3 linked regions of the Coturnix japonica genome follow. The protein of the gene in region 2 interacts with the protein of the main gene of each other region in a biochemical or structural test. Links are inferred from orthologs where the notes say so. Each region holds a gene or a part of one and is shown on either strand. Other genes may lie near its edges. The genes, in order: LHX3, RLIM and UBE2K.

The links.
Region 1: the proteins of RLIM (region 2) and LHX3 form a complex in vitro, tested with the Homo sapiens proteins (2 studies listed by BioGRID). The link is inferred for Coturnix japonica from reciprocal best matches to the Homo sapiens genes RLIM and LHX3.
Region 3: the proteins of RLIM (region 2) and UBE2K form a complex in vitro, tested with the Homo sapiens proteins (2 studies listed by BioGRID). The link is inferred for Coturnix japonica from reciprocal best matches to the Homo sapiens genes RLIM and UBE2K.

What each region holds. Positions count from the first base shown.
Region 1 is NC_029532.1:6,534,666-6,537,783, forward strand, and holds the end of LHX3 (LIM/homeobox protein Lhx3), read left to right. Parts: intron 1-58; coding exon 59-210; intron 211-297; coding exon 298-469; intron 470-2,057; coding exon 2,058-2,476; 3' UTR 2,477-2,498; downstream 2,499-3,118. UniProt on the Homo sapiens protein: Transcription factor.
Region 2 is NC_029519.1:11,724,769-11,728,883, forward strand, and holds the start of RLIM (E3 ubiquitin-protein ligase RLIM), read right to left. Parts: upstream 2,867-4,115; 5' UTR 2,704-2,866; intron 1-2,703. UniProt on the Homo sapiens protein: E3 ubiquitin-protein ligase.
Region 3 is NC_029519.1:62,495,122-62,499,333, forward strand, and holds the start of UBE2K (ubiquitin-conjugating enzyme E2 K), read right to left. Parts: upstream 2,863-4,212; 5' UTR 2,856-2,862; coding exon 2,703-2,855; intron 1-2,702. UniProt on the Homo sapiens protein: Accepts ubiquitin from the E1 complex and catalyzes its covalent attachment to other proteins. In vitro, in the presence or in the absence of BRCA1-BARD1 E3 ubiquitin-protein ligase complex, catalyzes the synthesis of 'Lys-48'-linked polyubiquitin chains.

The sequences.
Region 1 (3,118 bases), on a different chromosome or scaffold from region 2:
GGGCGGGGGTCCCGGGTCCCCGCGGGGAGCTCCGAGCTAACCCGCACCGTGCCGGCAGAGGCCGAGTCCACGGCCAAGAGGCCCCGCACCACCATCACGGCCAAGCAGCTGGAGACCCTCAAAAACGCCTACAACAACTCGCCCAAGCCGGCACGGCACGTCCGGGAGCAGCTCTCGTCGGAGACGGGGTTGGATATGCGAGTGGTGCAGGTGAGACCGCGCGGCTCCCACCCCCGGGAGGCGGCTGGGATCGGGTCGGCCCCGCTCACAGCGAGCTGCCCCGTGCTCTGCTTGCAGGTCTGGTTCCAGAACCGCCGGGCCAAGGAGAAGCGGCTGAAGAAGGACGCGGGGAGGCAGCGCTGGGGGCAGTACTTCAGGAACATGAAGCGGTCCCGGGGGACCTCCAAGTCCGACAAGGACAGCATCCAGGAGGAGGGGCCCGACAGCGACGCTGAGGTCTCCTTCACAGGTCGGTGCCCGACGGGGCTGCGCCGAGGGCTGCCGGCTGAGCTGCGGCCCTGGCAGGGCTCGATTCACCCCTTCGGGGTCACATTAATTATTTTTAGCTGTAATATAATAAGGGAAAATAAGTGCGATAAGAGGAAGGCGGAGTGGAGGGACCGCCCTGGCACAGCCAGAGCCGCTGCGCCGGGAACAGCCGTGAGCTGAGAAATGGCACGGGGAAATCCTGTGACAGATCCCAGACGGAGCAGGGAGAGCTCCATGGGCAGCGCTGGGCTGTTGGAGCGGCCCCTGCATGCAGTCTTCTCAATGTCTCTTCTCAAGGGACAATGCAAAACTCGGAGTTCAAAATTACTGAACTACGAGGAAAAGCTCATAGGTTCCTCTTAGTTTGGCTGTTGTTGTTGTATTATCCTATTTAGAATCGTTTGATTTGCGTAGTTCTTGTTAGTTACTTCCCAGTCTTGTGGGAGCTGTTTCCTCCCTGCTGTAAAAAAAGGAACTGCTTCGTTTTGGGAGATTTCTGCATTACAGGGTCCCGTTTTTGGGGCAGTCATCTCTGCAGATAACCCCCGGAGCTCTCAGCTTTGTGCTCCTCAGCCCCGCGGCCGCTCACTGCCGGGCCGCAGCCCTGAGCTGGGGTGGGTGCACGGGGGCGGCAGCGCTAAACAACCCGCACTGACAGCACCTGCACCGCATCCCCGCGGGGCTCAGACTTGTGTGCGTAGACTTCGTTTGTAGAGATACGGGAGAGAAGCTGAAATACAACACTACTGACAAAGACATCCGCCCGCAATGCACGGATGTTTATGGGCACACAGCTTTGTGTTTCTGCTCTCTGCCGTGTTCCTAAAACCTGTTTGATTTTCCAGCCTGTGCACACACGCTGCGCCTCGGTGTCATTAAATATGAATGTACCATAAATAATAACTAAAAATTGTCGAACAATTATTGATAGCTCGGTGCCAAAGCAGATTTGTATCCAAGGCAACGGAACGGCTCTCGCTGCCCATAAAGCCCCAAACGAAAGCAAACAATTTTTTTGCTGGTGATTTACAAAATACTTTCATATTTCAGAAGTGTTTTTAAGCCTTTCTCCTCCTCATCATCCCGATCCTGAGGAAACAAACACTGCTGAGATCTAATTCATTTTCTTCTGAGCAATGCACAGTTTTTCCTTGTATCAAATGCTCAGGTAGATCCTAAAAATGAGACCGAAATTCAAAATAAACCCCAAAGCCAAATATAAAGGAGAGACCAAAAGGATGGAAAGATCTTGAACTCATGTTCCTCTTTAAAGGATTACTTTAAAACCTCAGTCCTATATTTGAATGTGTGCTTTTTGTGCCTGTTTTTTAGACCCCAAATGTATTAGACATTTGTACTCAGAAAAAATAATCCCTTGTCTTTCTTTGGAGACTCATCAATAAGGGTAGGAATAATAGGGAATAATAAGGAATTACAACTAGGAAGTGCACGGCTGCTCAATTCCCATCCATCTCATTTGTGTGTACTCAGGGCTCACAGGAGCTCCTGTGTGCACTGCCGGCCGTGGCCATCACTCTCCCAGTAAAACCAGTTTGTTTTCCTTTCAGATGAGCCTTCCATGTCCGAGATGAGCCACTCCAATGGGATTTACAGCAATCTCAGTGAGGCATCCCCAGCCCTGGGGAGGCAGACTGGGACCAACGGGGGCTTCACTCTGGATCACAGCGGCATCCCAGCTCAGGACCAGTACCACGACCTACGATCCAACAGCCCCTATGGGATTCCCCAGTCACCGGCTTCATTGCAAGCACTGCCAGGCCACCAGCCTTTAATCTCCAGCTTGGTTTACCCCGACAGTGGTTTGGGCATCATGGGACAAGGCGGACAGGGGGTGCCCCAGTCCATGAGGGTCCTGGCTGGGAATGGGCCCAGCTCTGACCTCTCCACCGGCAGCAGTGGGGGATACCCGGATTTCCCTGCCAGCCCAGCGTCCTGGCTGGATGAAGTCGACCATGCTCAGTTTTGATAGAGGATCCACCACTGTGCAGTGGGAAGGGAAAGGACTCATCGCTGGCAAATGTCATCTGCCCATGGGGAAAAAAGGAGGGACGTGCTGAGTGCTGCGCGGGCAGGATGGCATGGCTGCCCTGCAGAGCGTGGATATGCTTGCAGAGGGCGAGCTGCTGGTGGATCTGCAGTGGACAGTGGGCAAAGGGAGACGTGGCACAGAGGTGAGCATGAGGAGCATCCCACGAACCTGGTGATGGTGTCCTTACTGAACACCGAGAGTTGTGCTTTACAGGTGTTTTGCTTTCTGCTGTCATTGCATCCTCCAAAGCGAGGACTTCTTTCACCACCCACCCACACTGAAAACCTTCTGAAGAGAAAATAAAGTCCTCATCCGAGATGAAAGGTGTGACCATATCTATATTTCTATAGGGGAAATGTTAATAGCGAATCACTTCAGCACCCCATGGTAGCAAACATCTCTGTTCTTCCAGCGGATTTTTTGAAGCGGTTTGTTCTGCTTTCTTTTCAATTCACCTCCGCTTCTCTAAAACAAGATGCTCTTTCATATGCCAATCACACACCATCAACCCTTTTCCTTTGTAAAGTGAAGACCACCCGTTGATTCCGCTTCGCATCTTTTTGATTTATAGACTGCTAG
Region 2 (4,115 bases):
CTTGGCTTCTCACTGTGTAAGTGCCCACTGTCCCCGCTTCAAATAGATCTAGAACACATAGCAATTCATTACAGGTTTCTATTGTTACCTTCCATACAGAAGGGTGGAGCTTTGCAATTTCAGAACACTGATCTCATGGGAATGAAGGCGAAGCTCTGAATATAAGACAAGGATTGTCAAAATCAGGTACTTCCCATTTTATAACCTAGACTTATTAGAACAGCATTTTTCACACGCACACACACACAAAAATCAAAATAAAATTAATATAGTATTGCTTCTGTGCTCAGACAGAGGTGATATCACCTCAGAGAAAGCTAAGCACACTCACGTTACTGACTTTCCAGTAGTGGAAGAAGTCTCATGGAACTTCTCTTTCCCTGAGTAGCGATATTCCATATTCCTGCTAGATCAGCGGGCAGGAGAGCGAGGCTGGAGCTCCAGGGAAGTAATACTCTGCATGAAAGTAACTGGTGCTGACGCTGAAAGACAGCAGTGTAAACAGGACTGACAGCTAAGGAAGTTGTACCCACAGAACTGATGCCCATCACACAGTGTTTTGATTTCTGAGGAAAGAGAACTTCTGTTTACTGAAAGCACAAAGCCAATGATCATCCACTGGAAAAGCCAGCTCTACATTTACTCTCACCTTCTCACAGAACTGCTAATACAGCTTCTACTAAAAGGCCAAAACAACAATGACAGATTCACTACAAATACAACCCACATAGGAAACCCAGTGCACGCAGTTGTTGCTGTTCTTGTCAAGCACTCGAGGAACTTAGAACACCAAAGTAACTTGTTAAAACTTCACTAAACTGGACTCAAATACAATCTATGGGCTGAAGTAAATGTCATTAAATTATGGCTGTAAAAAGTACAAAAGTACAATACTCCTACTGCAACTATAAGAATTCTACCAAGATGAAGAAACTTACTTTGAAACAATTCCATAGGGATGGGGAACACAGAAATAAAGGAGCCAAGTACATTAATACATGAGTGTTTTTAAAAACACTTCCATTTAAGGATCACATTACTCTAAAAATACTGATACAGGAAAAAAAAAAGAGACATGTAATGAAGACCAGAAACTTGCAACACTGCTTTCCAGTACACCTTGGTATGTTCATGGACTCAGTAATATGGAAAATAAATTTGATACTGCTGGCAACGACTACGAGCTTGAAAAAATGCTTGTGGTTTCTCACTGACAAAACATTGATGTAGCCAGAATTGCTGATGAGCAGTATATTGTAACTGTTACACTTAGTGGTCCAACGTAACCAACATCTCTTAATCCTATGATGCGCGTTGTGCTGCCCCTTGTTAGCAGCAGAAGTGACAAGACTGCAAACTGTAATTAGTTTCATTCTCAAATGGTAAACTTGGAGAGGGAATGCAGTCTTTTTTAAATGGTAGTTGGTCATTCCAGCAAAACCAAGCATTAAACTCTCAGTTTTGATGATTAACTGTCTAAGGGGCAGCCAAACACGCTTTTTTTCCCCCCCTAAAAACACTTGTCAAGTCACTGCAATTAACATTATGGAACAGAGTAGTGCTGGAACTTCTCTATTGTTTTCATGACAACTTACAGCTTGAAAACAACAAGTACTGTCAACACAGACAGGAGAAATATATCATACATGCAACTGCCCTACTGTATACAGTCCCAACTGAACCCTTGTTTACAGGCTCCTCACAACTATCACCTCAAAAAAAGAAAACAGAAACACAAACAAGAACATTCAATTTAAAAAGTGTATTTGTGCTGTGAAATCTTGTGTCCGACTCCTATTACACACTAAAATCAAAACAAATAATGAACCTCAAAACGTCCGTATTCTACAACTTGGTATTGCTCCTCCATTAAGGCTGACAATGGAAAATAAAGTGATGTATATATAGCATAACACTTGACAACAGTTTTGAAATACAGTAAACAGAAACTCCAAATGTCTGTAGACAGCATTAAAAAAGGAAGGAAAAATGTGTACAGGAAGCAAGGTAACAGAATAAATATTACATGACTAAGTGAAGAGAAGCGGATAAGACACCAACAGCAATCACAACAGCTTTTAACAGGTCACACAAAGATCACGACCCTCCCAAAAGGCACAACGGGATCAAGAATCACTTCTGTTCACCTCCAACAGGGCTCCTGCCTTAACGCAAGGAATTTAACCTGCAAACACAGACCTGAAGAGCCGAGAATCTTCAAGCAGGCCCTAAGCAGCACAAGGCCCGGGGCAGTGGCCGTGATACTCCACCTCACCCAAAAAGAACCTTTTCCAACCCTGACCCCCCCCTCCCTCCGCCCACTCAACTGTCCGGCGGTGGTGGAGCCCCAATGACCGTCCTCTATCACGCACCACAAGCGAAGGCGGAGAAATCCCCAGTGCTTTGGGGCCCTGTTGATCCGGAGCAGCAGGGCACAGCCTCAGGCACAGCGCCATCACGGCCCCCGGCTCCAGCACGGACCCGCTCCACCTCAAACGGCTGCGGCCCGCCGAGCCTCGTTGGAACCCGAGACCGTCCTGCCCGGTTGAGCCCGCTGAGCAGATCCACACCGCGGGGCTCAGGAGCCCGAGTCCCCCTGGCCGCCCCCATCTCCGGGCGGAGGCCGCCGCCGCCTCCCCTGGGCCTGGGCCTCTCCCTTCCCAGTGCCATCTTGAACGTCCGCGTCCAGGCCTTCGCACTCACCGCCCGCCGCCGTCTCCTCAGCTGTCACTCCGCCGCTCTCTCCGGTCCTCAGCGGGCTCGGTGCCGGCTCGCCGCGCTCCGTCCGTCCCTAAGCAGCCGCAGCGTCTCTCTGCCTTCCCTCTCAGGCGGCCATTTTCTGCTCCATTGTTACCAAGGAACGGGGGCCCGGAAGCGGCAGCCGACAGCGGAAGTAAAGGAACGGGCCTGTGCGCACGCGCAGACGGAGCCTCCGGGGCGGGGGTGGGGGACGCGCACCAACGAGAGGAGAGTGGAGCACCGCCGAGATGGGTAGAGCGGCTCCAGCGCTGTGCAGAGGGGAGGGGCGCCGCCATTTTGAAGAGGGGCAAAGGCGGAGGGGATGGGGCTGATGGTGTGTGTGGGGGTGAAGGGGGGCTGGACCACCTCTCTGTTTGCAGCCCCCAGGGCTCAGCATAGCCCCCGAGTGATGCTGTTGGCGTGAAGGAGTGGTATGGCCCGTGTGTGTACCAAGAGCCACGGGGGCCATTTCGTGTTACCTCAAGGTACTCACCTGGGTCGTGGTGAGTGAAGGTGTCAGCAAAGAGACTGGAAATGGCCAGTGTTTCCCAGCTCGTAAGGGAAAAATGGTCAGCAAGGCTGTTGTTGACAACATTCACCCTCCTTGCCTTGCTAGCAGGATTTCCTTCTCATGCTGGCTTACACTACAGTGTTGTGTGCTGAAGATGAGTCATGCTGCAGAAAAGCCAGATGTTCCTATTTGACAGTGTAAGCTTAAATTAAGCGTTACACGTCCACAGTTCTGTAAGCCTGCTTGTAGGTTAAATGTCACTGTAGTTCTGCGCTCAATAAAACTCTACTTATGTTACCTGTAGGGTCAGTGCGTCTCCTTTGTGGCAGGTTGGTAGAGGAGCAGGATCAGGAATCAATCAGGGCAGAGAGAAAAACACAAACAAACTGACTGAAAAGATAGAGAGGTAGGAGAGAGAAAACCACAAGCTTGGTTTTGAACCCAAGGGGGATGGGATGCTGAGTACTGGCTTAAGGAGAAGAAAAAGTTAAAGCTTTGCAGAGGATGTAAGGGATTCCCACAGAAGCTGGAAAAGATCCCACATTACTGTCTCAGAAATACCTATTGAAAATGACATTAGAAAAAGCGAAGTTCCTTGGAAGTCATCTTTGTTTTTTTCCCCCTTGGGATATAACAACTCAAAGGCAGCTATAGTGTTTGAGCAGGAACAAATTGAGTGGTCAGTTGCAGGTTTTGTTTCTTATCAGTTTTATTTCCTACAGGATGGGACCATGAAATGAAACTGACTGGAAACTCAATAGAACTAAGGCCACGATGCCAAAATGATTACTAAAGGAGCAATCCCAGTTCCATCTGGATTAGATGTACACCCCCAACTATGTATTTTCTTATTGAATTAGAGCAT
Region 3 (4,212 bases), about 51 Mb from region 2:
GAAGAACTAGTCTCTAATTTGTGGACAGAGGATTCGTTATCATCTTACAACAGCAGAAACTTCCCAGATAAAGAGAAAAATGCTACTTCAAAACCTCTGATTTGTTCACAGAGAAAATATTTTATCAGGTCTGGAGACAGTAATACAGTCATAGACCATTTTGAGTTGGAAAGAATTCTTAATGGTCACCCAGAACAACTCCCCTGCAACAAACAGAGGTGCCTACAGCTCAGTCAGGTTGCTCAGAACCCCATCCAGACTCTGGATGACTTCGGGGTCAAGGCATCAACCACCTCTCTGGGCAACCTGGTAGTGCTCCGCTACCCTTACCATAAAAAATGTATTAACTCATATTAGTTTAAACTTATTGAGGGGTACTTGATCCCACTGTTGATGTCACCAATGAAAACACTAAACAGCACTGAGCCCTGAGGGGCATCACTAGTCACTGATCCTTATCCAGACACTGTGCCACTGACCACCACTCCCTGGGTACAAACTTGCAACCAGTTCCTCATCCATTGAGCAGTCAACCCATCAAATCCATACACTTTCAATTTGGAGAGAAGGGTGTTGTGGGGACCCTGGCATTTTCTTTCACAAAAAAGAAAACACAACCACAGCACTAATTTAAAAGAACCTTATACTAGAGACAAAAAAAACGATGCAGGAAGAGACATTTGGTGGGCATCTAGTCCTACCTCCAGCTCAAAGCAGGTCCAACAAAAGTAGGCTGCTCAAGAACTTGTCTCACTGAGTTTCTGAATATCATCAAGGATGGGGAATCCACAGTCTCTCCATTCAATCAGTTCAATGAGACAACTGTAACGCCATTTTTTTTCCCCAGGTTCCAGTCATAATTTATCATGTTCCAGCTTTTACCTGTTGTTTCTCATCCTACCCCTGTGCGCCACCGAAATGTTTGATTCTCCTCTGGAGTCAAGTACCTGTGGTGGGTTTAAGTGGCCACCTTTCTGCCCCTCTCTCACATCACATAGTCCCGTCCCTTAATCTCCCTTATGGCATTCTACTGGACTCACTTTGGTGTATTAATGGATTTCCCAGAACAGGGCACAGCACTCCAGATATGGTCTCAGAAGTGCATGGGAAAGTGAAGAACCACTTCCTCACCCCTCTCTGCATTCATGCTAAAAACAACCCAGTGTGCAGTTGGCCCTCTTTGCCACAGGTCTTTTTCTGCCAACTTGCTTTGTCTCCAGTCAGTCCCCAGAGCATACACGTATTGATGTACAGTGTTACTTCTCAGATTCAGGACTTGGCACTTAACAGTTAACTTCACAAAGCTCCTGTCAGTTCATTAATTTCTCCAGTCTCCACACAGCCCTCTGCAAAGCAGCCTGTACTTGACACACTGCTGCCTCCCTCCCCCCCAAGTCTGAGGCCATATGCAAGGTTTCTGAGAGGCACACCAAAGATTTGTACCAACACGACAACTTCATTGTAGAAGTTCTCATTTTTACGCTTCTTTTTAATTAACTAGGCCCACTCTAGCTCCACTCACACTCCGCACTTACTAAACCTACACTTGACCTCAATAGACCAATTCTCATGAATCAAGACTTAAATATCTGCCTGAGCAGAAAGTTGGCATTGTTTAAATATTACGTTGCTGACTCAGGAGTCATAATAGAAGACATTTCATCTTTATACATCTGCATTGCTCCTACATAATAAATGGTAAGAAAAAAACCACCACACATCCACAGTATCCATCAGGCCTTTCTAATGACACCGAAGCACAATTACTAGTAAAAGCTTCCATTTTAGTGAATTCAGTTTCTAGTACCCAAGACTGCTCAAGTATAAGATGAAGATGATCAGGGGGCTGGAGCACCTCCCCTATGAGGACAGGCTGAGGGAGTTGGGTTTGTTCAGCCTGGAGAAGAGAAGGTTGCGGGGTGACCTCATTGCAGCCTTTCAGTACCTGAAGGGAACTTACTCCCAGGAGGGGAGTAAACTCTTCGAAAGGGCTGATATAGCAGGACTAGGGGTAATGGTTTTAAAGTTAAAAGAGGGAAGATTTAGGTTGGATGTTAGGGGGAAGTTCTTCATTAGGAGAGTGGTTAGGCCCTGGACAGGCTGCCCAGGGAGGTTGTGGATGCCCCGTCCTTGGAGGTGTTCAAGACCAGGTTGGACGGGGCCCTGGGCAACCTGATCTAGTAAAGGTGTATGTTTGGTGGCCCTGCCAGGCAGGGGGGTTTGGAACTACATGATCCTTGAGGTCCCTTCCAACCCGGGTCATTCTGTGATTCTGTGTGATTCTGTGATAAGCAAATCAAATACAGTAAAGTTCTTCTGAACCTCAGTTCACCGCTCTCCAGTTACCAAGATGTCACTTAGCAGCTTACAAACTGCCAAGCATCCCAACACCACCAGCAGCAAACAAACAGCACAGCTACTCACTGCAAGTCTAGGGAGGAACACAGTATGGCACGCGATTGTTACTCTTCCCTTCTCTTTTACAACACAAAATCACATAGCAGACTCCAGAACAAATATCGACTTCCTTCTTGGAAATGATGCAACTCAATTTTTGCCATCAACATACTGTTTCCACTTGAAAACTGTTTGGGACTCACGTTACAAATTTTAACTGCTACTGCACATATCTGCTCTTGCAGATACTCCTATTCTGCAACTACAGTCGAGTTTAATTTATTTGTAGCTCTATCTGTGTTTACCTTCCATGCAGATAAACCTCTGCCTTTTGATACAGGGAAGAGGAACATTCTGTGGTAGAAAAACCACCAACTTTTTTCTTGCCAGAAGGAAGCCATGTTTACCGAAGTGTTATCCTCAATGCCACAGAGAAGCAATTTCACTCCTAACAGCATTTCACAGAGAGACGGCCAGAAATCTCCTTACATTCCTGCATGATGAAGATATTGGATGGTCAACTCCACTGCCAGCACAATACCATTCCTTAAAGCACATGTGATACTATAGTAAAATAAGAAAAAAGATTTACACATTGACGTGCCTGATGAACTAAACCACTTGTCAGCACCAGCCCATGAATGAACACAATGTTTTTCAGCGCTCGTTGTTAAATACCAGATCCTTCCCCTCATAAGACAGCTGCTTACAGACAGAGATGGTAAGAATCTGGCTAGCACTCCAATAACCCTGTTCTGGAATAATATCAGCTAACCTTCACCAAAGCCTCTTCCCAGCCATCAAAGCGAAAGATACTGGGCTGTTATTCCCCCTCCACCAATTGTTAGTTTCTCCATCAAGCTGCAGCTTCACACTTTCATTCAGAACATGTTTTGCTACTTTGGAATTTAATTTAGCCTAACCCATGAAACTAACAAGATAAATTAATGAAATGACAGAAGAAAGAAAGAGTGCAACTTGCCTAGACTATGATTCAAAACAGTGCATGAGTTAATCACTGTTTACTACTTTAAGTTTTCATAGAGGAACAAGACGGTACCCTCCAACCTATATTACACTAGTCAGGTTATTACCTACATGAGCAGCTTCACTTTTGTTGAATACGCAGGACATCAGCAACCTGAACATTTCAACTCTCCTCCTACTCTGAAGACAATTCCTCTGTCTCTCAATGGGGAAACTGTTGTCAGTCTCACGTACCTCATTTATAAACTCAAAAGGTGCAAAGCTGCAAAGATCTCTACAACGCCCCATTCCTTAAATCAACGTGCAAGGCCTTATTAAAACAATTAAAAAAGACAGAAATGCTACCAAAAAAAAAAAGAAGCAAAAAATATTGAAGTGTGAGAAGATTTTAAAAGCCTTGTCAGCCCCTCCCCTCCTACATCACAAATCCCTCAGCTCCTACCTGCAAACCAGAAAGCAAGGCAAGGCTGAAGGCTGTTGTAGTGATTTCCCAGAAATACTATTCAATGTCACAGAAACAGAAAGCACTAAGGATACTTAGGCATATCAGTATTAAACTTTATCTACAGGAAGAATAGCACACTTCACAGAATTACCTCTTCACCAATATTTAAAGTGAAATTTGGTGCTTCCAAGCACAGAAGTCAAATACCATCCAGCTTCTCCCTTTTAAATGTTTCTGGTTCTCCCACCTATTTCAGTACCAAGATGAGAACTTGAAGATGAGAGCAAACTCCCTCTTGTGTTCTTCCCAAATGTGCCCAACTCCTCCCCAGGCACCTGCTCTCCTACTCTGCACCTGCAGAGAAACAGGGGCTGCTCTCCATG